Linked DNA regions of Anolis sagrei. The protein of the gene in region 2 interacts with the protein of the main gene of each other region in a pairwise test. Links are inferred from orthologs where the notes say so. Each region holds a gene or a part of one and is shown on either strand. Other genes may lie near its edges. The genes, in order: mitochondrial ubiquitin ligase activator of nfkb 1-A-like, UBE2E3, RNF167 and CNOT4.

The links.
Region 1: the proteins of UBE2E3 (region 2) and mitochondrial ubiquitin ligase activator of nfkb 1-A-like interact in a two-hybrid assay, tested with the Homo sapiens proteins (2 studies listed by BioGRID and IntAct). The link is inferred for Anolis sagrei from reciprocal best matches to the Homo sapiens genes UBE2E3 and MUL1.
Region 3: the proteins of UBE2E3 (region 2) and RNF167 interact in a two-hybrid assay, tested with the Homo sapiens proteins (2 studies listed by BioGRID and IntAct). The link is inferred for Anolis sagrei from reciprocal best matches to the Homo sapiens genes UBE2E3 and RNF167.
Region 4: the proteins of UBE2E3 (region 2) and CNOT4 interact in a two-hybrid assay, tested with the Homo sapiens proteins (3 studies listed by BioGRID and IntAct). The link is inferred for Anolis sagrei from reciprocal best matches to the Homo sapiens genes UBE2E3 and CNOT4.

What each region holds. Positions count from the first base shown.
Region 1 is NC_090023.1:262,723,085-262,730,530, forward strand, and holds the start of mitochondrial ubiquitin ligase activator of nfkb 1-A-like, read left to right. Parts: upstream 1-4,436; 5' UTR 4,437-4,531; intron 4,532-7,446. UniProt on the Homo sapiens protein: Exhibits weak E3 ubiquitin-protein ligase activity. E3 ubiquitin ligases accept ubiquitin from an E2 ubiquitin-conjugating enzyme in the form of a thioester and then directly transfer the ubiquitin to targeted substrates.
Region 2 is NC_090021.1:188,322,176-188,329,485, reverse strand, and holds the start of UBE2E3 (ubiquitin-conjugating enzyme E2 E3), read left to right. Parts: upstream 1-4,310; 5' UTR 4,311-4,325; coding exon 4,326-4,475; exon of another isoform or gene 4,476-4,479; intron 4,480-4,949; exon of another isoform or gene 4,950-5,262; intron 5,263-5,370; exon of another isoform or gene 5,371-5,767; coding exon of another isoform or gene 5,768-5,830; intron 5,831-7,310. UniProt on the Homo sapiens protein: Accepts ubiquitin from the E1 complex and catalyzes its covalent attachment to other proteins. In vitro catalyzes 'Lys-11'- and 'Lys-48'-, as well as 'Lys-63'-linked polyubiquitination.
Region 3 is NC_090026.1:1,250,049-1,257,131, reverse strand, and holds the start of RNF167 (E3 ubiquitin-protein ligase RNF167), read right to left. Parts: upstream 3,011-7,083; 5' UTR 2,847-3,010; intron 1-2,846. Other genes in the region: SLC25A11 (mitochondrial 2-oxoglutarate/malate carrier protein), read left to right, coding at 6,886-6,950.
Region 4 is NC_090025.1:158,008,708-158,015,905, reverse strand, and holds the start of CNOT4 (CCR4-NOT transcription complex subunit 4), read right to left. Parts: upstream 3,023-7,198; 5' UTR 2,766-3,022; intron 1-2,765. UniProt on the Homo sapiens protein: Has E3 ubiquitin ligase activity, promoting ubiquitination and degradation of target proteins. Involved in activation of the JAK/STAT pathway. Catalyzes ubiquitination of methylated RBM15.

The DNA.
Region 1 (7,446 bases), on a different chromosome or scaffold from region 2:
AAAGGAGGTGTGTGGGTCAGGTTTGCTTCCACGTTTGTTTCCGTTAACCCTCTCCTCAGGCTTATTCTCAGTTCCAGACCAGCTTGGCTTTAGAAATTCCAAACTCGCTCCCATCCCTTGAGCTCGGTGAGGACTAGTGCCTTGGACTTAGCGTGTGAGTGTGTGTATGTGTGTTGGTGGGGGGAGGAGGGATGCCGTTGGTGTATTTAATTATTAAAAGCCGTTTCCGCTTGATTGTTTCAATGTGGTCTTCAAATGTGTGGCACAAATAAAATGTAAACATTGAGAGGAAAATACAAATCACCAGAGATTAGAAATGAGACTCGATAAGCACTGTTTTGTTTTCAGTGAAGTCAGGCTGGGATTTGGGAGATCTAGAGGCACATGAACATCTACTTTATGCCTGTGTCCGGACTATAGCATTTCAGATTGGAAGCACCGGGACCATATGTTAGTCGTTACAAAAACATTCACCATGTGCAGAAAACTTTCAGATGGTGGAAAGTTCTACCTGAGTCCATTCTGCCAATGTACCATTTCTATTTAGGGATTATTTTCCTGTGTGCCAAAAAAGACAGGTAATGTGAACTAGAACTTCCCTTAAGTTGTCTACACTGTTGAATTACTGTGCCTTGACACCACTTTTACTGCCATCACTTAGTACTATAGTATCCTGGAGTTTGTATTTTTGGTGTGGCACCAGCTTCTTTTTGGCAGAGAAGGCTAATGAACTTGTGAAATTAAAGTTCTCATGATTCCATAGCAATAAGCCATGGCTGTTAAAGTGGTGTCAAACTGCATTCATTTGGTAGTATAGAAAACTTTACTTATGCGATCCCTCGTAGCTTGGGGATTATGGTCTTCCAGGTGTAGTGTCTTGGCAGTGGGTCCGTATGTGGCTGTAGAGCCCTATTCTTGATCTGCATGTTCTCCTGCAGTGAGGACATCAGTTTCCAGATTAAGGTGGTCCCAGTCAGGGTTGGCTTGATGCGCCTTCCTCTTGGCAAGTTTCTCCCTTTCATTCTCCATTCGTGCCTCTTCGAATTCTGCAGCACTGCTTGTCACAGCTGACCTCCAGTTAGAGCACTCAACGGTCAAGGCTTCCCAGTTCTTGGTGTCTATGCCACATTTTTTTTAAGGTTGGCTTTGAGCCCATCTTTAAATTTATTTTCCTGTCCACCAACATTACATTTCCCATTCTTGAGTTCGGAGTAGAGTAACTGCTTTGGGAGACGTTGATTGGGCATTCGGACAACGTGGCCAATCCAGCAGAGTTGAGGATGAAGGAGCATAACTTCAATGCTAATGGTCTTTGCTTCTTCCAGCACATTGACCTTTGTCCGCCTGTCTTCCCAAGAGATTTGCAGGATTTTTCAGAGGCAGCGCTGATGGAATCGTTCCAGGAGTTGCGTATGACATCTGTAGACAGTCTTTTCGCGGGTGTACAGCAGGGTTGGGAGGACAATAGCTTATACAATCAGGGACAGCTAATCACCTCTCAACAAAGGAATTTCCCAGGCAGTAACAAGCGACACCTAAAAACTGTCTGGCCATCAAATGCTAATCAATGTGGCCAAATGAAACATTCACACCTAGCTCCAACAGACCACAGTTCTTCCTCCCACCCTGGACCTTCCACAGATATATAAACCCAATTTTCCTAGTTTCCAACAAACCTCACAACCTCTGAGAATGCCTGGCACATATGCAGGCAAAACGTCAGGAGAGAATGCACCTAGAACGTGGCCATACAGCCCAAAAAACCTACAACAACCCTCTTAGAAAACTATTTCTTGATTTAAGGCATTGGCATACTGGTTTATATCTGAATAGGGGATGGGCTGGATATGTCACTGCCTTGGTCCTTTCATTATTGGTTGCTACTTCCCAGCGGATGTCAGGTGTTGCAATACTGGCTAAACATTATTTCTCCAGTGGTGTAGGGCACAGACAGCCTGAGATAATGCAGCATGTGCGACCACAAGCGACATGTAGCATCATAGAATTGGAAGAGACCACATGGGCCATCCAGTCCAACCCCCTGCCAAGAAGCAGGAAAATTGCATTCAAAGCACCCCCGACAATGGCCATCCAGCCTCTATTTAAAAGCCTCCAAAGAAGGAGCATCCACCACACTCTGTGTCACAACTCAGGGAAGCTTCACCTTGGTCAAGACACCACCACACCCAAGGCTGTAGGTTTTGTAGTTTATTGAGAAAAAAGCAAAATCAAAACAGAGAAATAAAGATGCAAAAATTCAATAGGCAAAACAGAGTCTTAAATGCAAAGGCAAAGTTCCCAAGATCCAAAGGCAAATAACATAATCCCTTAGCAATGGTCAAACAAGAGTCCGTGGTAAACAGGTAAAATCAGGATCAAAATCCAAGTCTCAAAGAAGCCAGAAGCGTTCCGCAAAAGACAAGGTAGTTCCACAGAAGTTAACAGGGAAAGAGCAACATTGGACTGACAGGAAATGCCTGTCACCTACATCATTAAATAAGTTTCCCTGACATGAAAGCGTTGCATTGACCTTTGGCTTCACGCTTGTTGGCAAGGCGTGTGCTTCTGCAAGCTATTAATCGTAAACTATCCTGTCTACTCATTAATTCACTATTATCTTCAAGGCTAAACAACTCATTATCTTGGCCCAGCTGGGCCTCATCACTCTGGGAACCGAAAGGAGTCTTCACCTGCACTTGTGGAGTTTCACTATCTTTATCTAAAGGCACATTCCTTTCCCCGGGAAACAGGCTTGCTGTTTCTTCTTCAGAAGCCACACTATCAGCCCCGTCTGGAACATGTACAGGAATCTGTAACCCATCAGCCTCCTCATCATCCTGCAGAAAGTCAGGCTCAGAAGGCCCAGCAGACCCAGAAGGCCCAAACAATTCAGTCTGAGACTCAGGCTCAGACTGAGCCACAGCACTCTGGGGCAGAGAGTTCCACTGCTGAACGTCTCTCAGTCAGAAAGTTCTTCCTAATGTTCAGATGGAATCTCCTTTCTTGTAGTTTGAAGCCATTGTTCCATTGCGTCCTAGTCTCCAGGGAAGCAGAAAACAAGCTTGCTCCTTCCTCCCTGTGACTTCCTCTCGCATATTTATATATGGCTATCATATCTCCTCTCAGCCTTCTCTTCTGAAGGCGAAACATAGAATCATAGAATCAAAGAGTTGGAAGAGACCTCATGGGCCATCCAGTCCAACCCCATTCTGCCAAGAAGCAGGAATATTGCATTCAAATCATCCCTGACAGATGGCCATCCATCCTCTGTTTAAAAGCTTCCAAAGAAGGAGCCTCCGCCACACTCCAGAGCAGAGAGTTCCACTGCTGAACGGCTCTCACAGTCAGGAAGTTCTTCCTCATGTTCAGATGGAATCTCCTTTCTTGTCGTTTTAAGGCATTGTTCTGTGCCCTAGTCTCCAGGGAAGCAGAAAACAAGCTTGCTCCCTCCTCCCTGTGGCTTCCTCTCACATATTTATACATGGCCCTCATCATATCCCCTCTCAGCCTTCTCTTCTTCAGGCTAAACATGCCCAGCTCCTTAAGCCACTCCTCATAGGGCTTGTTCTCCAGACACTTTTATGATTTTAGTCACCCTCCTCTGGACACATTCCAGCTTGTCAATATCTCTCTTGAATTGTGGTGCCCAGAATCGGACACAATATTCCAGGTGTGGTCTAACCAAAGCGGAATAGAGGGGTAGCATGACTTCCCTAGATCTAGACACTATGCTCCTATTGATGCAGGCCAAAATCCCATTGGCTTTTTTTTTTGCCGCCACATCACATTGTTGGCTCATGTTTAACTTGTTGTCCACATGCCCAGCTCTTTAAGCCGCTCCTCATAGGGCTTGTTCTCCAGACTCTTGATGATTTTAGTCGCCCTCCTCTGGATACATTGTCAATAGAAGATTACATCTTTATCTGCAGCAGCCTTCATCTGTTCAAACATAACATAAATATGTTAGACTAGATCCAGGGGCATGCAAACGATGGCCTGCAGGCCACATTTGGCCCAAAATATTTTCCCCAACCCTAAGCTCTCTTATTGCATCTTAATTCAACTTTCAATAGTCAGAGGGACAGTCTAAGGCAGGCCTGGGCCAACTTGAGCCCTCCAGGTGTTTTGGACTCCAACTCCCACAATTCCTAACAGCTTACAGGCTGTGGGAGTTGTGGGAGTTGGAGTCCAAAACACCTGGAGGGCCCAAGTTGGCCCAGGCCTACCTGAGGGTCACATTTCCCAGCAACAGCTGTCTGCCACAAAGAGAAGCTGCAGTCAGCGCTTTCCGGCCAGCAAGAGTCGCAACACATTCTATTTGCGAGCAGAGCACGCTGGGAGTCGTAGTCTTTGAACAGCGATGGAAAAACCGCTGCGAAGGGAAGTCGCTGTTTTTTGGACTCCGTTTCCCATAACCCACCGCGGCGGAGTGTGCACGCTGGCGTTTCCGCCGGGCTGAGACCACAAAACTTTGGTTCCGCCAGAGAAGGAGAGAAGCGAGGATATGGGAAGTTGTTTCTCGGCGTCAGAGGTAAGTCAGTGGCCATTAATGTTTCTAATGGATTTACCTTGAATCCTGGGAGTTAGTCTAGGCAAGAGTGCCCCTGAGCATGGGCAGAGTGTTCTGATACTTTGATGCATCAAACTTTTGTTTCAGTCACACAATTATTACAATTCCCACATTAATAAAAGTCAAAGCATGTGTGTATGTTGGTTGGGTTGTCCCCCAAAAGCTCCTCCATGCCTTGATGGATTTGGGCCAAACCATTCATGATCCAACTTCATGTCATGGTCCAACTTTGTAAAAGCTCACTTTTTTCAGGCCCCAAAAGGATCAAAGTTAGTTGGATGTGGATGATTGGCAGTTGCTAGGTGAAGTGTCCCTCTGTGATTTTTTTCAGGCTCAAAAGCATCAAAGTTAGTTGGATATGAATGATTGGCAGCTGCTAGGTGAAGTGTCCCTCTGTGATTTTTTTCAGGCTCAAAAGCATCAAAGTTAGTTGGATATGAATGATTGGCAGCTGCTAGGTGAAGTGTCCCTCTGTGATTTTTTTCAGGCTCAAAAGCATCAAAGTTAGTTGGATATGAATGATTGGCAGCTGCTAGGTGAAGTGTCCCTCTGTGATTTTTTTCAGGCTCAAAAGCATCAAAGTTAGTTGGATGTGGATGATTGGCAGTTGCTAGGTGAAGTGTCCCTCTGTGATTTTTTTCAGGCTCAAAAGCATCAAAGTTAGTTGGATATGAATGATTGGCAGCTGCTAGGTGAAGTGTCCCTCTGTGATTTTTTTCAGGCTCAAAAGCATCAAAGTTAGTTGGATATGAATGATTGGCAGCTGCTAGGTGAAGTGTCCCTCTGTGATTTTTTTCAGGCTCAAAAGCATCAAAGTTAGTTGGATATGAATGATTGGCAGTTGCTAGGTGAAGTGTCCCTCTGTGATTTTTTTCAGGCTCAAAAGCATCAAAGTTAGTTGGATATGAATGATTGGCAGCTGCTAGGTGAAGTGTCCCTCTGTGATTTTTTTCAGGCTCAAAAGCATCAAAGTTAGTTGGATATGAATGATTGGCAGCTGCTAGGTGAAGTGTCCCTCTGTGATTTTTTTCAGGCTCAAAAGCATCAAAGTTAGTTGGATATGAATGATTGGCAGTTGCTAGGTGAAGTGTCCCTCTGATTTTTTTCAGGCTCAAAAGCATCAAAGTTAGTTGGATATGAATGATTGGCAGCTGCTAGGTGAAGTGTCCCTCTGTGATTTTTTTCAGGCTCAAAAGCATCAAAGTTAGTTGGATATGAATGATTGGCAGCTGCTAGGTGAAGTGTCCCTCTGTGATTTTTTTCAGGCTCAAAAGCATCAAAGTTAGTTGGATGTGGATGATTGGCAGCTGCTAGGTGAAGTGTCCCTCTGTGATGTCACTAGGAAAGGAAGAAAGAAAGAAAGAAAGAAAGAAAGAGAAGAGAAAGACAGGAAGGGAAGGGAAGGGAAGGGAAAGAAAGAAAGTGTTGCAATCCAGAGCAGGGAACGAGGCCCTAAGATAACTATCCACCACACTTGACTGTGAAAAACAATCCTTTTTTATTGAAGAAAAATGATTACAAAATAAAGGAAAAATGCAAGTCAAAAGCCACAGCAAAATCAGCACACATGAATTTAAATGGACAAAGCAAAACCCAAAGCCACACTGAAATACTGGAACCTGTTAGCAATCCACTAACCGTACTTGATATCCTAGAAATCTTTCAATACCATGGCCAGGGAAACCGGGAGAACTGCCAAGGTCTTCATCAATTCTGAAACAATGCCTGAACTGAGAAAGTCCGCCCGGCAGAAGGCAATTAAAGCCCAAGAATTGGTTCCGTGAACCACCCTTCTGCTTTGAAGCCAATGTTTTTAATTCTTTAATTCGAGACGACCTTCGCAAGCTGAGTGATTTACTTTTATCTTGCCAGATCTGCCCCCTTCTGTTGTCATTAAAGTTACCAGGTGCAGAAGGGAGGAAAAGGTCAAGGCTTCCCTCTGAAACATTCTCATGAACACTGGTACTTTCATTTTCCAAATCTACAGAAGTTCCTTCCTCACTAATTTCAGGAGCATTGGCATCAAGAGGTACATTTCCATTAGCATCAGTAAATATGTTTTCATTAGCATCAGGAGGAACAAACAGAGAATCAGGTTCAAGTTCAAACTCAGGATGAACCCCAACAGAAAGAAGAAGAAAGAAAGGGTTTGAAATAAGGATCAAAGTTAGTTGGATGTGAATGATTGGCAGTTGCTAGGTGAAGTGTCCCTCTGTGATGTCACTGGGAAAAGAAGAAAGAGAAAAAGGAGAGAAAGACAGGAAGGGAGGGAAAGAAGGAAGACAAAAGAGGAAGAAAAAGGGTTTCTGTAGTTTTGAACTCTGAATATGTTCGAACTGGGAATTTTTAAAATGCTTGTTATATTTAATTCTGTTTTCATATTTGCCTATTGGTATGTTTTCAATTTTATGCTGATGCTTTTATGTTCCGCTGCTTTGAGTTTCCTTTGGGGGAGATAAAGTGGGGTACAAACAACAACAATAAAGGGGAGAAGGAAAGGAAGGGAAAGGAGGAAAGAAGAAGAACAAAATGGGAAAATGAAAGAAAGGAGGGATGGATGGGTATGAATGAAAAAGGAGGGAATAAAGAAAGGAAAAGGAAGAAGATATGAGGGGAGGAGAGGAAGAAAGAAAGGATGAAGGGATGGAGGGAAGAAAGAAAAAGAAGGGGAAAGTAAGAATAGAAGGAAGAGGAAAAAAGGAGAGAAAAGGATGTGTATGAGGGAAAACGAGGGAAGGAAGAAAGAGAAAAAGAAGAGAAAGAGGAAGGGAGGGAAGGAGAAGAAAGAAAAAAGAGGAAGGAAAGGGGAGAATTATTATTTCTTACCTACCTCTCCTCACGTCTCGAGGCGGTTTACAACATTGCTAAAACACACA
Region 2 (7,310 bases):
AGTGAACAAGCTCATTAGAGCTTCTGGGATTTGGAGGCCCAAACAGCTGGAGAGCCGCAGTTTGAGGATGCCTGCTATAGGCTATATATTAGAGGAAGGGACTAGCAAAAACACCCTGATGGGTTCGACATTGGGAGAATAGAAGGCGCATAAACACACACAAAGGTTTTGACTCTCCTTTAAGAGAGGAAATCAGGATATAAATATGTACAATAATAACAAGGAAAAGGAGAAGGGGGAAGTAGACGACATCTTGTTCTTGAAGTATGCAGAAGCAGTATTGTTTGAAAGTGAAGCAGGTTTCCAATCCTAACCATCATCAATATTCTTGTATATGGTAATTTTCTTGGGTTCGGGGGGAGGGGAGGCCTCAGGATCTACCCTAGCAAACCTTTTGTATCGTTACCTCAATACCCCCATGCATATGGGATATATTGAGCATGGTGATTAGATCATGATATGAATAAACATAACAGTTTAAATAATGTAGCAGTAAGGCCTTTTCGCGAACTACGATGAGAATTTCGGGGGGGGGGGGCTGAAGCCCCTCAAGCCCCCCCCCCCCCCCCGGGCTACATACCTGCACACAGTATATGTTAACTGGACTTCTAGTGTAGTTTGAATGCTAAAGCAAGACTCCAAAGCCCCTTCTACACTGCAATATAATCCAGATTGTCAAAGCTGATAATCAAAGGTATCTTTCCACATATATAACATCTCAGCCCCCTTCCACATTGCCACATAATCCACCTTTTCAAAGCAGATAATCCACATTATCAGTTTTAAATTGGACTGTATGAGTTTACACTGCCATATAATCCAGTTCAAAGCAGACAATCTGAATTTTATATGGCAATATAGAAGGGGCCTCAGACTTTTAACACTTTCAACTTCAGAGAAGACTATGATTGGACTCTGGACTTCCATGTCAGGGCCCTTCCACACAGCGCTATAGCCCAGAATATCAAGGCAGAAAATCCCACAATATCTACTTTGAACTGGGTTATCTGAGTCCACACTCAAGATAATACGGAATTTTCTGCCATGACATTCTGGAATATAAGGCTGTGTGGGCCTTCAATTTGGCATTGGCAAATTGATACACGACCGAGGATATTTGTATTTTTACATCCATTTATTTGATATTCCAGTTTCCCCCTCAGTACTAGAATAAAGTTAAAACAAAGAACAATCTGAACAAACTATTAATAGAAACATAAAAAATAAATGTGTTGAGGAATAATTTCCGTTTCAAAAACACAAGTTTAAAATCTTTTAAAAAACAGATTCAAACATAATGAAACACACACACACACATACAGCACTCACCGCGTGGAAAGCTCCATCTGCAGCAACAAGTAAAAAACAAAACACAACAAAAGGCCTGATTAAATAAAATAGTAAAAAAAATATATTGGAAAAACAAAGAGAAATCTGCCTGTAGAGATTTGGGAACAATCATAGAGAAGGCTTTCACACCTGGTTTCCCAGACCATGATGATTTATTATATATTTATTATATATTTATTATTATTTACAAGCTGTCCCCTGCCATGTGTTGCTGTGGCCCAGTCTGTGTATATGTGTTTTGTGTGTGTACATGAATGTGTATATGTGTGTTGTGTGTGTGCGTGTGTGTGAGGGTTTGTGCATAAGTTGTAACGTAATTTTTGGTTTTTTTGGATTTTTAAGCCCTTTCTGTTGTGTTTTTCAGAATTATTATGAGTGATGGGCACTCGTTGGCCTGATAGGTGTCTTGTGTCCAAATTTGGTGTCAATTCGTCCAGTGGTTTTTGAGTTATGTTAACCCCACAAACGAATATTACATTTTTATTTATATAGATTGTATTTCTCGACCAGCCTTTTCATCCAGTGACCTCAGGGCAGTATAAGTCAGTTCTCCTTCTAGTACCTGACACAGGGGATTGGCAGTGGTAGCAATGTAGGGCAAAGATCTGTCCGCACTAGCAGTAACTGGGTGCATCTTAACTGCAAAATGAATTAGTTTTACCCCACTTTTACTGCCACACTCAATGTTGTGGAATCCTGAGAGTTGTTGTTTAGAGGGACACTAGGGCCCCTTCTACACTGTCATATAAAATCCAAATTATTTGATTTGAAGTGGATTACATGGTAGTGTAGACTCATATAATCTGGCTGAGAAATGTATAGTTTGACACTTGGGCAATAAAAATGAAATGGACAGCTCATATAGGATGTGTGGCACCTGGCTTGAATACAGTACACGTGAAAGGAATCTAGGAGCCTGAGGAGCCTTCTATACTTTGTATTAGTCTACACTGCCATATAATCCAGTTCAAAGCAGATAATGTGGATTTTTAAGGAAAGTGTAGGTGCCTGCCATAGATGCAGGCAAAACTTCAGGAGAGACTGCTTCTAGAACATGGCCATACAGCCCGAAAAACCTACAACAACCCAGTGATTCCGGCCATGAAAGCCTTCGACAGTACAAAGGTGATTCTACTTGAACATTAGGAATAACTTCCTGTGAGAGAGCTGATCAGCAGTGGAACTCTCTGTCTCAGTGTTTAATAGAGTCTCCAAGTCCTGGAGGCTTTTACAGAGGCTGCCGGGAGTGCTTTGATTGTGGAAGAACGGGATTGGATTGGGTGGCCTTTGGGGCCTCTCCCGACTCTATAGAAGTCCAGGATTTCCAAGCGCAACACACACACTCTGGCTGCAAATGACTGAAGGATTCTATTTGAACATTAGGAAGAACTTCTTGTGAGAGCTGTTCAGCAGTGGAACTCTCTGCCTCAGGGTTGTAATGGAGTCTCCAAGTCCTGGAGGCTTTTAAAGAGGATGGATGGCCATCTGTCGGGGGTGCTTTGGTTGTGGAAGAACAGGGTTGGATTGGGTGGCCTTTGGGACCGCTCCTGACTCTATAGGAGTCCAGCATTTCCAAGCACAACACACACACACTGGCTGCAAATGACCGAAGGATTCTATTTGAACATTAGGAAGAACTTCCTGTGTGAGAGCTGTTCAGCAGTGGAACTCTCTGCCTCAGGGTTGTAATGGAATCTCCAGGTCCTGGAGGCTTTTAAAGAAGATGGATGGTCATCTGCTGGGAGTGCTTTGATTGTGGAAGAACGGGGTTGGACTGGGTGGCCTTTGAGACTGCTCCTGACTCTATAGGAGTCCAGGATTTCCAAGTACAACCACACACACTCTGGCCGCAAATGACAGAAGGATTCTTCTTGAACATTAGAAAGAAATTCCGGTGTGAGAGCTGTTCAGCAATGGAACTCTCTACCTCAGGGTGTAATGGAGTCTCCAAGTCCTGGAGGCTTTTAAAGAGCATGGAAGGCCATCTGCCAGGGGTGCTTTGATTGTGGAAGAACACGGTTGGACTAGGTGCCCTTTGGGGCCACTCCTAATTCTATAAGAGTCCAGGATTTCTAAGCACAACACACACACACTCTGGCTGCAAATGACCGAAGGATTCTACTTGAACATTAGGAAGAACTTCCTGTGAAAGAGCTGTTCAGCAGTGGAACTCTCTGCCTCAGGGTTGTAATGGAATCTCCAGGTCCTGGAGGCTTTTAAAGAAGATGGATGGTCATCTGCTAGGAGTGCTTTGATTGTGGAAGAACAGGGTTGGACTAGGTGCCCTTTGGGGCCACTCCTAATTCTATAAGAGTCCAGGATTTCTAAGCACAACACACACACACTCTGGCTGCAAATGACCGAAGGATTCTACTTGAACATTAGGAAGAACTTCCTGTGAGAGAGCTGTTCAGCAGTGGAACTCTCTGCCTCAGGGTTGTAATGGAATCTCCAGGTCCTGGAGGCTTTTAAAGAGGCTGGATGGCCATCTGCTGGGGATGCTTTGATTGTGGAAAAACAAGGTTGGACTAGGTGCCTTTGGGGCCTCTCCTGAATCTATAGGAGTCCAAGATTTCCAAATACAACACACACACACACACTGGCTGCAAATGACTGAAGGATTCTATTTGAACATAAGGAAGAACTTCCTGTGAGAGAGCTGTTCAGCAGTGGAACTCTCTGCCTCAGGGTTTAATAGTTTCCAAGTCCTGGAGGCTTTTAAAGAGGAGGGATGGCCATCTGCCGGGAATGCTTTGATTGTGGAAGAAGGGGGTTGGACTGGGTGGCCTTTGGGTTCAGGATTTCCAAGGACAACACACACACGAGCTACTACTGCTGCCTTTGGCTGCAAATGACCAAAGGATTCTATTTGAACATTAGGAAGAACTTCCTGTGTGAGAGCTTTTCAGCAGTGGAACTCTCTGCCTCAGGGTGTAATGGAGTCCCCAAGTCCTGGAAGCTTTTAAAGAGGCTGGATGGCCATCTGCCGGGAGTGCTTTGATTGTGGAAGAACGGGGTTGGACTGGGTGGCCTTTGGGGCCTCTCCCAAGGAGTCCAGGATTTCCAAGCACAACACACACACGAGCTGCTGCTGCTGCCTCTGGCTGCACATGACCGAAGGCGAGGTGGGTGAGTGTATGCCTGGGAGGACGAGAAGGGAGACTTTCCCTTTGGGGGGAAGGCTGCAAACTTAGGCCGGGAGAGAGAGGAAAGGAAAGGGGTTCCTGGGTTCCCTTGGGCAGCCAACTCTTTGTCCTTGACCAGCAAAGCGGGGGAAGGTAAAAAAAAAAGAGAGAGAGAGTGAGAAAGAGCAGAGCGCGTGCGCGCGCACTAAAGCCGACAAAGCAGCAGCACCAGCGGGGGCGCGCGCTCCAGCCTGGGAGAGCGCGCGCGCCGTCCTTTTCCCTTTTCTCTCTCTCTCTCCCTGCGTTTGGAACTTTGCTGACTGCAACGTTCTGAATCCGAAAGTAGGGGGCGGAGGCGAGAGAACGTTCGATTTGCCCCCCCCCCCTCCCTTTGGAGGAGAAAGAGAGAGAGAGAGAGGAAAAAAAGGGGAGCGCTCCGCAGCGCCACCGTCCGGCCATCGCGTGTATTGCACCTCCCCTTTTTTTCTCTCTCCCTTTCTCCCTCTCCTTCTCTCTCTCTCTCTCCCACCCCCCTTCTCTCCGGCTCTCAATGATCCACACTGCCCGGCCACAGAGCCGCCTCCTCCTCCTTCTCCGCCGCCCGATTGCCCCCCTCCCAAGCTGCTGCTGCTGCTGCCTCTCCTGCTTCTCCTCCTCCTCCTCCTCGTAGCCCCTTCCCAGCCCCCAAGGACACAACGCTCTCCCTTCCCTTCCCTTCCCTCCCCCCTTCCCTCCCTCCCCTCCTCCTCCTCCTCCGAGTGAACGTCGGGACAGGACGGCTGCCAAGGTAAAAAAAGGAGACACGGGTTAGGACAAGCAGGGAAAGGGGGGAGGGAAGGAAGGGAGAAGGGGAGGGAGGAGGGGAAGGGGGGTGGTCGTGGAAAAGAGAGCTTTGTTCTGGCTGCCTGGCCCCACTCGAGTTCACGCCTCACTTGGTGGCACACACACACACACACAACACACGCGCGGAGTGGACGGATCCGGGTGGGAGAAGCTTCCTTCCTGCCATTACAGCAGAGAGAGAGGAGGAAGAAGAAGAGGAGGAGGAAGAGGAGGAAGAGGAGGAGGAGGACGACTCTGTGTTGAAGGCAACACACACACACACACACAGAGGAGGGCAAAGCTGCCCCTGCTGCAATTCCTGATCAGGATCTACCTCCTCTTCCTCCTCTTCCTTCTCCCTCTTTCTCTTTTTTGGGAATGATCTAATCCCAATATTTCAACCCCCCCTCTCTTGCATGTGATCCTTCCTGGAGGAATCCCCATTTATTTATTTTTTAGGGGGCAAAAAGATGTCTGTCTGTTTTGTAGAAACTGATCCAGAGTCGGTGGTGGCGTTGAAAGCTTTCCAGAAGGTGCTTCTTCTTCTTTTCCTTCTTTGCTTCCTCCCTTCGCCAAACCTTCTCCTCAGTTGGGCCCATTCTTCTTCCCCTTCCTTCCTTCTTTCCCCAAACCTTCTCTCCAGTTGGGCCCAAACATTAGGGTGAAAATTGAGAGGCAGTGGGTTTGTTGGGATCTGTGTCCCCCCTCCCCCCCCCTTTGTATATATGTTCTCATTACTATAAATATAAGTGTGTTGTTGGGGCCCGGGGAGCAAAGAGGAAGGGGCTCTTAACCTAGTGTCTCTAAGGTAAATATTATTCAGGGCAGAGAGAGAGCCTATTTTGGGGTCAGTCTCGGTTGTTTACAACCCTGTTGTCCTAAGTTGCTGTGAGTTTTTCTGTGCTGGATGGCCATGTTCCAGAAGCATTCTCTCCTGACGTTTCGCCCACCTCTGTGGCAGGCATCCTCAGAGGTTGTGAGGTCTGTTCGAAACTGCAGGGTGACAGAAAGATATATGCATTTTCCAGGCTGTCTGGCTATGTTCCAGAAGCATTCTCTCCTGATGTTTCACCCACATCTATGGCAAGCATCCTCAGAGGCTGTGAGGTCTGTTTGAAACTAGGCAAGTGGGGTTTGTATATCTGTGCAAGGTGAGAGAAAGATATATGAGTTTTCCAGGCTGTCTGGCTATGTCCCAGAAGCATTCTCTCCTGATGTTTCGCTCACCTCTATGGCAGGCATCCTCAAAGCCTGTGAGGTCTGTTGAAAACTAGGAAAATTGGGTATATATATCTGTGGAATAATGTCCAAGGTGGGAAAAAGAACCCTTGTCTGCTTGAGGCAAGTGTAAATGTTTTCTGAATGTTGTTCTTTATTTAGAGTTGTTTAAATACTGGTAGCCAGATTTTGTTCCCCAGGTAGGAAGCACCCAGGCTTGGAAGTTGAAAGGCCATTCGAAGCTAATCAAGGTGGCCAATGGCAACATTCACACTTGCCTCAATGTAAATGTTTTCTGAGTGTTCTTCTGTATTTAGTGTCCTGATTTTAGAGGTTTTTTTAATACTAGTATCCAGATTTTGTTCCCCAGGCAGGAAGCAGCCAGGCTTTGAAGCTGCAAGACCATTAAAAGCTAATCAAAGTGGCCAATGGCAACATTCACATTTGCCTCAAGCAGACAATAACAACAACAACAACAACGCATTATTCTTTGATACATCACACAGTCCTAGACACTTGGGAAGTTTCCGATGTGTGATCCAATGCAACAGCCAGCAGAGTGATCTTATCTGCTGTGGACTCATCTTGTTGTGCTTCAAATAATAATAATAACTTCATTTTTATACCCGGCTAAGAGTTCTTCCTCCCACCCTGGACCTTCCACAGATATATAAACCTCACTTGCCTAGTTTCCAACAGACTTCACAACCTCCGAGGATGCCTGCCATAGATTTGGGCAAAATGTCAGGAGAGAATGCTTCTGGAACATGGCCATACAGCCTGGAAAACTCACAG
Region 3 (7,083 bases), on a different chromosome or scaffold from region 2:
CTGAACAGACTGCGCTCTGGCACCACGAGATGCAGAGCCAACCTTCAGAAATGGGGCCACAAAGTGGAATCCACAACATGCGAGTGCAGAGAGGAGCCAACCACTGACCACCTGCTTCAATGCACCCTGAGCCCTGCCACATGATGCACAATGGAAGACCTCCTTGCGGCAACACCAGAGGCACTCCAAGGGGCCAGAGACTGGTCAAAGGACATTTGATCAACTACCAAACTCACACATTTTGTATTATGTCTGTTTGTTTGCTTTGTTCTGTTAGAAATGTAATATAATTTGACTGGTTGCCCTGACACAACAAGTAAAATATGGCAGTGTAGAAGGGGTCAGAGAAGGAAGGAGGAAATCCACCTTGTTCTGGCTTGCCTTCCATACAAAGCACAAACGCGGCTGTGCCTGTGCTTTTCCACTTTGAAGATGTTTTAATGGATTTTAACTGTGAATTTCTTTCGTGCTGTTTGTGTTTAGTTTTCTTTCCATGTTTGCATCTTTGGATATTTTAAATAGCCTACTAATGCTTTTATGTCAAGATGCTTTGAGTCCCCGTTGGGAGAGATAAAGCGGGGTGTAAATAAATATGACAACAATGATGATGATGCCTGGACATTCTCAGAAGTGTGGGCAGGTTTCTCCTTTCGACTGACGTACTTGGCCCTTTTCTTGCTAAATCAAGGAAAAGCCCAGACCGTTGCCTGGAAGAAGGAAGGTCAAACTCACCTTGGGCTCAACCCTGCTTTGTCTCTCCCGAAGGAGTCTCAAAGCGGATTAGCATAAAGGCCCCTTCCACACTGCCATATAAAACCCAGCTTATCTGATCTGAACTGGATTATATGGCAGTGTAGACTGATATAATCCATTTTAGTCGCTTCTGGTTGCTTCTGGAGTGAACCACCGCCTCCTCCTGAGAAAAATGTATAATATCACAGAGGACTACCGTCTCATCTGCCTCATAGGAAACCTGCTACAAAACAGGAGCTTTTTGGTTGAGTTCCAGGGCCAGAGAAGCTTATGGCAGAAACAGAAGAACGGCCTTGCCTCAGGGGAGCGTGCTTGCTCCATCCATGTTCAACATCTACACAAATGACCAGCCACTGCCAGAAGGGATGGAGAGCTTCATCTATGCTGATGATCGTGCCATCACCGCTCAAGCAGGGAGCTTTGAGATGGCTGAACAGAAGCTCTCCGAAGCTCTAGGTGCTCTTACTGCCTATTACAGGGAAAACCAGCTGATCCCTAACCCATCTAAAACACAGGCATGTACTTTTCAACTTAAGAACAGACAAGCATCCCGAGCTCTGAGGATGATTACCTGGGAAGGAATCCCACTGGAGCATTGCAGCGCACCCACATACCTGGGAGTCACTCTGGACCGTGCTCTGACCTACAAGAAGCACTGCCTGAACATCAAGCAAAAAGTGGGCGCTAGAAACAATATCATACGAAAGCTGATTGGCACAACCTGGAGATCACAACCAGATACAGTGAAGACATCCCTGGCCCATCCCCTGTTTGGGTATCAGCCAGCACGTCAACGACTTAAATCAAGACATAGTTTTCTAAGATCTACAGAGACACTTGTTGGAACACCCCAGCAAGCGAGAGTCCAAAAGTGGCAGGCTCAAACCCAGAACCTCAATCAACGGCTGATATCAAATGAGAGACTCCCCCCTGGGCACACAGAAGACTCGGCAACTTGGAAGGTGCTGAACAGACTGTGCTCTGGCACCACGAGATGCAGAGCCAACCTCAAGAAATGGGGCCACAAAGTGAGGTCCACGACATGCGAGCGCGGAGAAGGGCAAACCACTGCCCACCTGCTGCAATGCACCCTGAGCCCTTCTTCCACATGATGCACAAGGGAGGACCTCCTTGTGGCAACACCAGAGGCACTCCAAGGGGCCAGAGACTGGTCAAAGGACATTTAATCAACTACCAAACTTGCAAATACTGGCACTGTTAGGGGGTGAATGACCTTGGAATCTGAGAGTTGTAGTCCACCTGCATCTAGAGAGCACTGAACCATTGAATCTGGGAGTTGTAGTTCACCTGCATCTAGAGAGCACTGAACCCTGGAATCTGGGAGTTGTAGTTTACCTGCATCTAGAGAGCACTGAACTTTGAAATCAGGGAGTTGTAATTCACCCTCATCTAGAGAGCAATGAACCTGGGAATCGTAGTTCACCTGCATCTAGAGAGCAATGAACCCAGGTGACGACATATCTGGACCAAACTTGACGCATAAACCCAACATGGCCAACTGTGAATACTGCCAGGGTTAGGGGGGTGAATGACCTTGGAATCTGGGAGTTGTAGTTCACCTCCATCTAGAGAGCAATGAACCCTGCTAATGACATATCCGGCCCAGATATGGTCAACTATGAATACTGGCAGGGTTTGGGGGTGAATGACCTCGGAATCTGGGAGTTGTAGTTCCCCTGCATCAAGAGAGAGATCACTGAATCTGGGAGTTGTAGTTCACCTGCACCTAGAGAGCACTGAACCCTGCCAATGACATATCTGGACCAGACTTGGCGCACTGGCCCAACATGGCCAACTGTGAATACTGGCCCGGCTTGGGGAGGCTTGACCCACGATTCTGGGAGTTGTAGTTCACCCACATCCTCATGCATTTTCTAATGGGAGCATTCAGAGAAAAAACCAAAGCCAAGAGTGGTTTCCTTCCAATAAACAGCGTTGGAAATCACCCTGCTGATCTGACCTGAGAGCCCAAAACAATCCCCAAAGGGCAGGGCCCAGGTGTGTGCCCAGGTGTGTCCCCACGTGACCAGAGGGCCCTCCCTCCTCTGACTCCCTCCCTTGACCGCCCTTACCTTCCCCTCCTTGGCGGGCTCAGGCCCCCCGCCTCATGGGCACGCAACCGGGGGTCCTCGGGCTCGCCGCTCGTCCCTCGCCTCGCGTGGGAGAAGGCCTCACCAGAGGGGAAAGGCCCACAGCATCAAGCCCCGCCCCTTCCGGAAGCGCCCGCCTTGTTTACTTCCGCCTCTCCGGCTCGCTCGAGGGGTGGGCGGGGCCTCGCAGGGCAGTGGGCGGGGCTATGCAGATCGGTGGGCGTGTCATCTCGGGCTCAGCTGCAGCAGGAGGGAGGGGGAGGGGGAGGGGGAGGAGGCAGACTATTATTATTATTATTATTATTATTCATTAATTCTCAAGATCATACATATGGAGAACCCTGTGTTATGGAGGAAGAAACTTTATATTATTTTTATTTTTTATTATAGTTATATTATTATTATTATTATTATTATTATATTATTATACTTATATTATTTTTATTATTATTATAGTTATATTATTATTATTAAAGTTATATTATTATTATTATTATTATTTATTAATTCTCAAAATCATACGTATGGAAAACCTTGTGTTATGGGGGAAGAAACTTCATATTATTTTTATTATTATTATAGTTTTATTATTATTATTTATTAATTCTCAAAATCATACATATGGAAAACCCTGTGTTATGGGGACAGAAACTTTATATTATTTTTATTATTATTATAGTTATATTATTATTATTATTCATTAATTCTCAAGATCATAAATATGGAAAACCTGTGTTATGGGGAAAATTATATTATTTTTATTATTATTATAGTTATATTATTATTATTATAGTTATATTATTATTATTATTATTATTATTATAGTTATATTATTATTATTATTATTATTGTTGGGGTTCAGCCTGAGTTTGAACTTGAACCTAATTCTCTGTTTGTTCCTCCTGATGCAAATGAAAGTATATTTACTGATGCTAGTGGAAATGTCCCTTTTGATGCCAAGGCTCCTGAAATTAGTGAGGAAGAATCTGCTGTAGGTTTGGAAAATGCCAATGTTCCTGAAATTAGTGAGGAAGGAACTTCTGTAGATTTGGAAAATGAAAGTACCCGTGTTCATGAGAATGTTTCAGAGGGAGACCTTGACCTTCCCCTCCCTTCTGCACCTGGTAACTGTAATGACAACAGAAGGGGCCAAATTTGGGAAGACAGAAGTAAATCACTCAGTTTGCCTCGATCCTCCCGAATTCAAGAATTAAAAACATTGGCTTCAAAACAGAAGGGCGGTTCACGGAACCAATTCTTGAGTTTTAATTGCCTTACGTCTCAGTTCAGGCATCGTTTCAGAATTGATGAAGACCTTGGCAGTTCTCCCGGTTCCCTGGCCATAGTTTGGGAAGATTTCTAGGATATCAAGTATGGTTAGTGGATTGCTAACAGGTTCCAGTATTTCACAGTGAGGCTTTTGGTTTTGCTTTGTCCATTTAAATTCATGTTTGCTGATTTTGCTGTGGCTTTTGACTTGCATTTTCCCTTTATTTTGTAACCATTTTTCTTCAATAAAAAAGGATTGTTTTTCACAGCCAAGTGTGGTGGAGAGTTATCTTAGGGCCTCGTTCCCTGCTCTGGATTGCAACAATTATTTATTAATTCTCAAAATCATACATGTGGAGAACCCTGTGTTATGGGGACAGAAACTTTATATTATTTTTTATTATTATTATAGTTATATTATTATTATTATAGTTATATTATTATTGTTGTTCATTCGTTCAGTCATCTCCAACTCTTCGTGACCTCCTGGACCAGCCCACGCCAGAGCTCCCTGTTGGCCGTCACCACCCCCAGCTCCTTCAAGGTCAGTCCAGTCACCTCAAGGATGCCATCCATCCATCTTGCCCTCTTCCTTTTGCCTTCCACTTTCCCCAGCATCATTCCCTTCTCTAGGCTTTGCTGTCTCCTCATAATGTGGCCAAAGGATTTCCACTTTGTCTCTAGTCTCCTTCCCTCCAGTGAGCTTTAGTCGGGCTTTATTTCCTGGAGGATGGACTGGTTGGATCTTCTCGCAGTCCAAGGCACTCTCAGAGCTTTCCTCCAACACCACAGCTCAAAAGCATCTCTCTTCCTTCGCTCAGCCTTCCCTCAGGTCCAGCTCTCACATCCGGAGGTGACTACAGGGAAGACCATGGCTTGGACTAGGCAATGGATCTTGGTTGCCAGTCTGATGTCTCTACTCTTGACTATTTTATCGAGACTGGACATTGCTCTCCTCCCAAGAAGGAAGTGTCTCCTGATTTCCTTTTATTATTATTATTATTATTATTATTATTATTATTATTTATTAATTCTCAAAATCATACATATGGAAAACCCTGTGTTATGGGGACAGAAACTTTATATTATTATTATTATTATTATTATTATTATTATTAGTTTCTGCCCGCATAACACAGGGTTCTCCATATGTATGATCTTGAGAATAAATAATAACATATTGGCTGTGCATCCTGGAAAACTCACAGCAACTCATGGGAGGCTTCGTTTGCTCTTGCAAAGGCCCAGCCACAGACCCATGTGTAGGAATGTTGAGTGCAGCGTCCACAACAGCAGCACATGGCCTCCTCCTCCTCCCAGCACAATGGCATTCCTGGTTTTGCTATGCCAAGCATTCCTCTTCTTCTTCTTCTTCCTCCTCCTCCTCCTCCACATTCCTTGGCCAAGGACCAAGGCCTGACCTTAGGGCAAACCATGCGCCAAAAGAGTGGAGGGCAATGGCCTGGAATGTGGGGAGTGGAAGTGGGGCTGCTGGTCACTCCTCGGGAAGAAACGCGGCTAATGTGCACCCAGGACCCCTCCCTCTCTGTCCCTGAGCCCATGCATCTTGGACAGCCATTAAGGAAACAATCCAAATAATGTCTTGTCGAAGCCTTTCATGGCTGGAATCACTGGGTTGTTGTAGGTTTTTTCGGGCTATATGGCCATGTTCCAGAGGCATTCTCTCCTGACGTTTCGCCTGCATCTATGGCAAGCATCCTCAGAGGTAGTGAGGTCTGCTGGAACTAGAAAAATTGGGTTTATATATCTGTGGAATAATGACCAGGGTGGGACAAAGGACTCTTCTCTGCTGGAGCTAGGTGTAAATGTTTGAACTGACCACCTTCATTAGCATTGAAAGGCCTGGCTGAGCCTGGGAAAATCTTTTGTTGAGAGGTGTTAAGATGTAAAAAACTCTAAAATTACAACAGCAAAACAGCAGAGAGGAAACAACCAGGCACATCTTAACACCTCTCAACAAAAGTTTTCTCCAGGCACTGTCAGGCCATTATATGCTAATTAAGGTAGTCAGTTGAGACATTCCCACCTAGCTCCAGCAGACAAGAGTCCTTTGTCCCACCCTGGTCATTCCACAGATATATAAACCCATTTTTCCTGGTTCCAACAGACCTCACTACCTCTGAGGATGCTTGCCATAGATGCAGGCGAAACGTCAGGAGAGAATGCCTCTAGAGCAAGGCCATATAGCCCGAAAAAACCCACAAGAACCTAACATATTTATATTATTATTATTATATTATTTTATTATATTTTCTATTATTACAGAATATCAATATGTTATTATATAATAGAAGAACATACTGATATTCTATAATAATAGAATATATAATAATAATATAATATATCATAATCATATATATTATAGAATATATATAATAATAGAATATATAATAAAACAATATAATAATAATAATGGTATTAATGATAATGGTGGTCAGTTTTTGAATTCTGCAAAACTGACTTGGATGAATGGCATTCACTCCTAGTACTGCGCAGGCGCGGGAAAAAGCCAGCTTGGCCACGCCCCCTTGCCCGGTAGCCACGCCCCTTGCCTGATTGGCCACGCCCCTTTAGCTCCCGCGCGTGCGTGGTTGCGTCTCTCCTCGTCGTCCTCGGCTCCCTTTCCCCAGAAGTCCCGCCTCCTCGCCTGAAGCCGGGCGCTGATTGGCTGCGGGGATCCCCCTCATAGCTGTGTTCCCTTCCAGCCGGGCCGGAGTGACCTTGGTCCAAGATGGCGGAGGCGAAGCCCAAGACCTCCCCCAAGTCCGTCAAGTTCCTTTTCGGGGGCCTGGCCGGGTGAGAAGAACAAGGGGAAGGAAGGGGCGCGTGGGGAAGCAGGGCCTCTGTCCGGAGGGATCGAATGGCGGGGGGGGGGCTCTCCCTGCAGGAAGGCAGGAGGACGCGGGGTGGACTGGATGGCCTCACGGGG
Region 4 (7,198 bases), on a different chromosome or scaffold from region 2:
GATGAGGCATCAAGATTCTTTGGTGGAGAAGACTAGAGATCTTGTCAAAACTAAAACTCCCAGGATCCCCTAGCATTGAGCCATGGCAGTTAAAATTGTGTCCAACTGCATTAATTCTACAGTGTAGATGCACCCTAATACGAACCACTCCTTCAGTCATCACTGCACTGCTGCTCATCTGTCCCATCGGCCTCTTCTTCTCTTCCATTCCACTGCCATCAGTGGGATTTGTTGCATTACTTTCGTTGACTACTGTAAGCTCCCTGAGTTTCATTGACTGATGTGAGCTCTCTTTCTCCACATCCCCAGTGGAGAGTGCAGATTTGTGCATAAAGGGTGAATAAAGCAAACAAGGCATCGATAACACTAAACCATGGCAGTGAATGTGGTGTTAAACTTCATGAACTGTGTAGTGTACCCTTACCCTAAGACACTTGGCTTATCTTAAAACATAGATATGGAAGATCTAACTTTACTCAAGGAGAAAAACAAGAGGATTGGAAACAAGGGACAAATAGAATGTCACATTAGAAAAGGGAGAAAATTATAACGCCAAGGAGGGGAAGTCTGCAGTCAATCCCTTAACCAGTGCCCTTCCACACAGCCCTATATCCCAGAATATCAAGGCAGAAAATCCCACAATATTGGCTTTGAACTGGGTTATCTGAGTCTATACTGCCCAATTGAAAGTAGAAAATTTGGTATTTTATTCAGCTATGTGGAAGGGGTCTTATGCTTTGAACTGGAATATATGGCACAATAGACTCAGGCCCCTTCCACACAGCTGAATAAAATCCCACATTATCTGCTTTAAACTGGGATATATGGCAGTGTGACTCAGATAACCCAGTTCAAAGCAGATATTGTGGGATTTTCTGCCTTGATATTCTGGGTTATATGGATGTGTGGAAGAGCCCTTAGAATGAGTTAGCTGGAATCTCTTTAAGGCATTGCAGAGGTCCAGAACTAAGTTCAAAACAGAAAATGTGGGATTTTATTCAACTATGTGGAAGGGGCCCCAGAGAACCCTGCAAAGCAAAGGCAGCCTTATGGGGGCATCAAAGGGCTATGGCCCAGCCTCCGTATCTCCCCCTATGAACGATCTCAGAGATTAAGATTGTCTGGGGAGGCCCTGCTCTCAGTCCCACCTTCTTTGCAAGTGCAGTTGGTAGAGACGAGTGACAGGGCCTTCTCAGTAGTGGCCCCTCAGTTATGGAACTCCCTCCCTAGTGATATCAAGGCTGTCCCTTCCCTCCTAGTGTTTAGAAAGAGAGTCAAAACCTGGCTCTGGGAGTAGGTATTTGAAAAATAGAGCAGTGCAGGAAAGCAAGTATGGAATATGTGCAATTTGACTACAGATTGGCCTTTAGACTGCCACTTTGGATGATGTGATTCATTGAAATGTATTTTTATTATACGTATTATGTTTTAATTTTTAACTGATGTTGTATGTTTTAAGGCACTGTGGAGGTATAATTGTAAGCCGCCTTGAGTCCCCCTTGGGGTAGAGAAAGGCAGGATATAAATAAGGTAAATAAATAAATAAAATAGAATTAATAGTTCGACAAAACTTCAATTGCCATTTTTTTTGCCATGTCAGGAGTGACTTGAGAAACTGCAAGTCGCTTCTGGTGTGAGATAATTGACCGTCTGCAAGGACGTTGCCCAGGGGATGCCTTGATGAATTGATGTTTTTATCATCCTTGTGGGGGGCTTTTCTCATGCCCCCGCATGAGGAGCTGGAGCTGATAGAGGCAACTCATCTGCCTCTCCCCGGATTCGAACCTGCGACCTGTCGGTCTTCAGTCCGGCTGACACAGGGGTTTAACCCACTGCGCCATCGGGGGCTCTTCAATTGCCATGCCTCTATGCGACAGAATCATGGGAGTTGTAGTTTGGTGAGGTACCAACACTATGTGGCTCAATACCTTGTAAAACCACATCTCCCATGATTCCATGGTATTGAGCCATGGAAGTTGAAGTGGTGTCAAACCCTGAGACAGCTAGTTTACCTTAGGCATACAGATCCAACATGGGCAAACTACCCGGAGACATCTAGTTTACCTTAAGCATATAAATCAGGCATGGGCAAATGTACTGGCTGTTAGGAATTGTGGAAGTTGGAGTCCAAAACACCTGGAGGGCCGAAGTTTGTCCATGCTTGATATAGATTCAGGAGATCTAGCCTTACCGAGGGGCCAAAATATACTGTACTGTACTGTAAATAAATAAAATGAGAGGAAGGGACAAAGAGCGAAAATGTGAGGATGGGAAACAAGGGACGAAGAGAAATCCCCCTGGAGACAGCTCTGTCCCACACTGAGGAGTGGATGCCTCTAAAAAGCAATGCAACATTGGGGATCCACTTCCACGTAAGGAGAAGGCCCCACAGGGAAACATAACGGGGAAGGAAGAAGGGCCGGAGAGGGAACACCCAGAGAGGTAGGTACACACATACAGTTAACTGCCACCCACTCCCAACACACGTGCTCCTTCCGAAGAGATCTCTCTCAGGATCGCAAGGCGAGGGGCAGCAGCCTTCCCCTCGGCAGCCTCGCCCTGAAAAGCCCCGGCGTGGCCCGCCTGCCTCCCTCCCTCTGAGGGGCGGCCCAGAGCCTCCTCCTCGGCCTCTCTTCCGCCTCTGGCTTTGGCCTGAGGGAGGCCAAGCGCGGAGGGCAGCGAGGAGGGCGGCCCAGGCCTGGAAGCTCCCTTGAAGCCTCCGCGCTCTCGTAACGGAGTGAACCCGGCTTGCCTGCCTTGCTCACCGGCCTCGTCGTCCCTGCTCCACGGCGGCGGGGGCGGCGGCGGCGCGCGCTCTCTGCTGCCGGCTGGCTGGCTCCTTTCCTTCCTTCCTTCCTTCTTTCCTTTCCTTCCTTCCTTCTTCCTCTCGGGGCGGCTCCTCCTCCTTTCCCCCTCTTCTTCCTTTTTTTTTATGTGAGAGACGGGTAATCTCTTGGCTCTGCGCGCTGCTCCGCCGCCGACAGACCGGCCACCATCTTACATTAGGGAGAGACTGCTTGCCTGCTTGCTAGGCTTGCCCCGGACGCGCATGCGCACCAGGCGCCGGAGAGGCGGGTTGCGGGGGAAGGAAGGCGTCGAAAGAGGCGCGACGCGCGGAACAGAGCATGACGGGAGTTGTAGGCCAGCCCCGGAGGGTTCGGAAAGGGAAGGACGCGGCGCGTAGGTTATGCGAAATAGGTTCCCAGGCTGCAGCTCCCAATGTTGGCGGCCAGGAGCATCTGGAGGGACACCATATCACTGTCTATTGTTCTATATAGGCTTCCTTTCCACCCTCGGTCCAAGTTGGGCCCTCCAGGTGTTTTGGACTTCAATTCCCATCATTCCTAACAGCCTCAGGCCCCTTCCTTTTCCCTCTCAGCCCATGTTGGGCCCTTCAGGCGTTTTGGACTTCAATTCCCACCATTCCTAACAGCCTCAGGCCTCTTCCTTCCCCCCCCCCGTCCAATTTGGGCCCTCTAGGTGTTTTGGACTTCAATTCCCACCATTCCTAACAGCCTCTGCCCCTTCCTTTTCCCCCTCAGCCCGAGTTGGGCCCTCCAGGGGTTTTGGACTTCAACTCCCATCATTCCTAACAGCCTCAGACCCCTTCCTTTCCCCCCTCAGCCCAAGTTGGGCCTTCCAGGGGTTTTGGACTTCAACTCCCATCATTCCTAACAGCCTCAGACCCCTTCCTTTTCCCCCTCAGCCCAAGTTGGGCCCTTCAGGTGTTTTGGACTTCAACTCCCACCATTCCTAACAGCCTCAGGCCCCTTCCTTTCCCCCCTCACCCCAAGTTGGGCCCTTCAGGTGTTTTGGACTTCAACTCCCACCATTCCTAACAGCCTCAGGCCCCTTCCTTTCCCCCCTCAGCCCAAGTTGGGCCCTCCAGGTGTTTTGAACTTCAACTCCCACCATTCCTAACAGCCTCAGGCACCTCCCCCCCCCAGTCCAAGTTGGGCCCTCCAGGTGTTTCAGACTTCAACTCCCACCATTCCTAACAGCCTCAGCCCAAGTTGGGTCCTTCAGGTGTTTTGGACTTCAACTCCCACCATTCCTAACAGCCTCAGGCCTCTTCCTTCCCCCCCCCCCCAGTCCAAGTTGGGCTCTCCAGGTGTTTCAGACTTCAACTCCCACCATTCCTAACAGCCTCAGCCCAAGTTGGGTCCTTCAGGTGTTTTGGACTTCAACTCCCACCATTCCTAACAGCCTCAGGCCCCTTCCTTTTCCCTGAGGGTGGAGTTGAAGTCCAAAACATCCAGAGGGCCCAACTTGCCCTATGCTTGATCTAGCCTGTAGAATGAATGCGGTTTGACATCACTTTGACTACCCTGGCCCAACGCTGTGGTTGGTAGCTTGGTGATGCAACAGCTCCCATTGGCAGAGAAGGCTAAAGACCTTGTGAAACTACAGTTCCCATGGTTTGATAGAATTGAGCCATCTGATATCCCTAGGGAGAGTGTTCCATAGCTGAGGCCCTGTCTCTCGTCCCCGTCAGACGTACTTGTGATGAAGGCGGGACCGAGAGCAGGGCCTTCCCAGACAATCTTAAAGTCCTCGATGATTCATAAGGGGAGATGTGTTCAGACAGGTAAGTTGGGCCAGTACCGTTTAGGGCTTTATAGGCCAGAGCCAGCACTTTGAATTGTGCTCAGTAGCAAACCAGCAGCCAGTGGAGCTGGCGCAACAGGGGGGTTGTATGCTCCCTGAGAGTCGCTCCTGTTATCAACCTGGCCGCCGTCTGTTGGACTAGTTGACACTTCCGGACAGTGTTCAAAGGCAACCCCACGTAGAGTGCGTTGCAGTAGTCTATATGTGATGTAACCAGAGCGTGGATTACCATGGCCAAGGTGCATTTTTGTACAGTGTCATTCAAATATATACAATATCATAATACATAGAACAACATTGGAATGTAATATTGCTAGTATATGTTAATGTTGTAATATAATATATTGTATACACTACAATCTATGATATAGTACAATCTATCTATACATATAATAAAAGTCAAAGTTTGTATGCGGCGGACGTGTGGCGGGAGGAGTATGTGCCAGCGTTTTGATTGGTTGCCGCTGTGGTGCTATTTGCATATGGTCTCTGATTGGCCAGCTTCAATAGGAGCCCCTGGTGGAGAAAAGAGTTCATTACAGAAACAGGGACATGAGAAGGAAATGTGCATATGGTCTCTGATTGGCCAGCCTCAATTCCAAGATTCTGAGATGACAAAGAGAGGAAAGGAAAAGGCCGGGGGGGGGGGGGGGGGGCTGCGTCAGAAAATTACCAATACAGACCAAACTTGGCACACGGCGACTGCAAGACCCACTCAACATCCTACTGCAGTTTGGAGGATGAACCTTGGATGATGGGACTTGCAGTACAATCACTCACATTCTGAGACCGCTGTTAACCTCATCCCATGACTGATCAGGACCAAACTTGGCACATAGACCTCTCATGACCCACTTTACGTCCTGGTGTGGTTTGGCCGGGGATGTACCATGGATTATGGGACTTGCAGTACCTTTGCTCAATTCTTGAGACCACTGCAATCCTCATCCAATTACCGATAAAGACCAAACTTGGCACACAAAGTCTCCATGATGCACTCTACATCCTGGTGCGGTTTGGAGGAGGATGCACCATGGACGATGGGACTTGCAATACCTGCATTCCCTTCCTAAGACCATTACAACTGCCAACAATGATGGATCAGGACCACAATTTACACAGAGAACCCGCATGACCCACTCTACATCCTGGTGTGGTTTGGAAGAATTTGACAATGGATGATGGGACTTGCAGTCACTTCATTCACTTCCTGAGACCACTGAGACCCTCGCCAATGACTGATCAAGACCAAACTTGGCACACAGAGTCCCCATGACCCACTCTACATCCTGGTGCACTTTCGAGGAGGACATACCATGGATGATGGGACTTCAAGTACCTCCACTCCCTTCCCAAGACTGCTGCAACCCTCATCTAATGTCCGATCAAGACCAAACTTGGCACACAGAGCCCCCATGACGCACTCTACATCCCTAAGCTGTTTGGAGGAGGATGGACCACAGATGATGGGACTGGCAGTACTTTCACTAACTTCCTGAGACCACTGCGAGCCATATAAATAACTGATAAAGACCAACCTTGATACACAATTCCTTTCTCAAATAACCCGGGCAGCGCCGGGACCCAAGCTAGCTAGTATATTATATAATACTATTTATATGCTGGTAATATATTTTATATATTGTGATATAATACTCTGTTCAATATAATAATACATACTGGGTTGTTGTAGATATTTCGGGCTGTATGGCCATGTTCTAGAACAGTGGTTCTCAACCTGTGGGTCCCCATGTGTTTTGGCCTACAACTCCCAGAAATCCCAGCCACTTTACCAGCTGTTACGATTTCTGGGAGTTGAAGGCCAAAACATCTGGGGACCCACAGGTTGAGAACCACTGTTCTAGAAGCATTCTCTCCTGACGTTTTGCCTGCATCTGTGACAAGCATCCTCACAACCTCTTGAGGATGCTTGCCACAGATGCAGGCAAAATGTCAGGAGGGAATGCTTCTAGAACGTGGCCATACAGCCCAAAAAACCTACAACAACCTAGTGATTCTGGCCATGAAAGCCTTCAACAATGCATTAATAATATATAATTGTATATTATATATATTACTGGTAATATTGCAGTATAATGTGTTATTTTTAATGTAGATGTGGTTATTTTTTGTCTTTGTTCAGTTTCTCACGGCATTGAATGTTTGCGGATATCTGTTCCTTTGGAGAAATAGGGCGGAATATAAATAAAGTTTTATCATTATTATTATTTTATTAAATGGTTGTTCTTGGACTGGATTCCATTTGCATATTCTTGATTTGCCACTTAGCAGATAATTTTTAGGAAAATAAACATTTATTTTAAATTTGCATTATTTGTCAAAAAGAACAATTAAAAAGCTGTATGCATGTACATGTGTGTTCAATATGCATAAATGTATTTCCTAACAGCTTTTCAGCAATTGCATTAACTATGCCATCTCCTCCTCCCATCCATCCTACTGGAGAGGCTTCCTATCCTTGGGGTTAGAGACAAATACAATTATGCTCTTCCTTCCTATTAAAATATTTTTCCATCCTTCCTCCAAGCTGCATATCAGTGATTATTTAGAAACTCCATATGAAAATGCC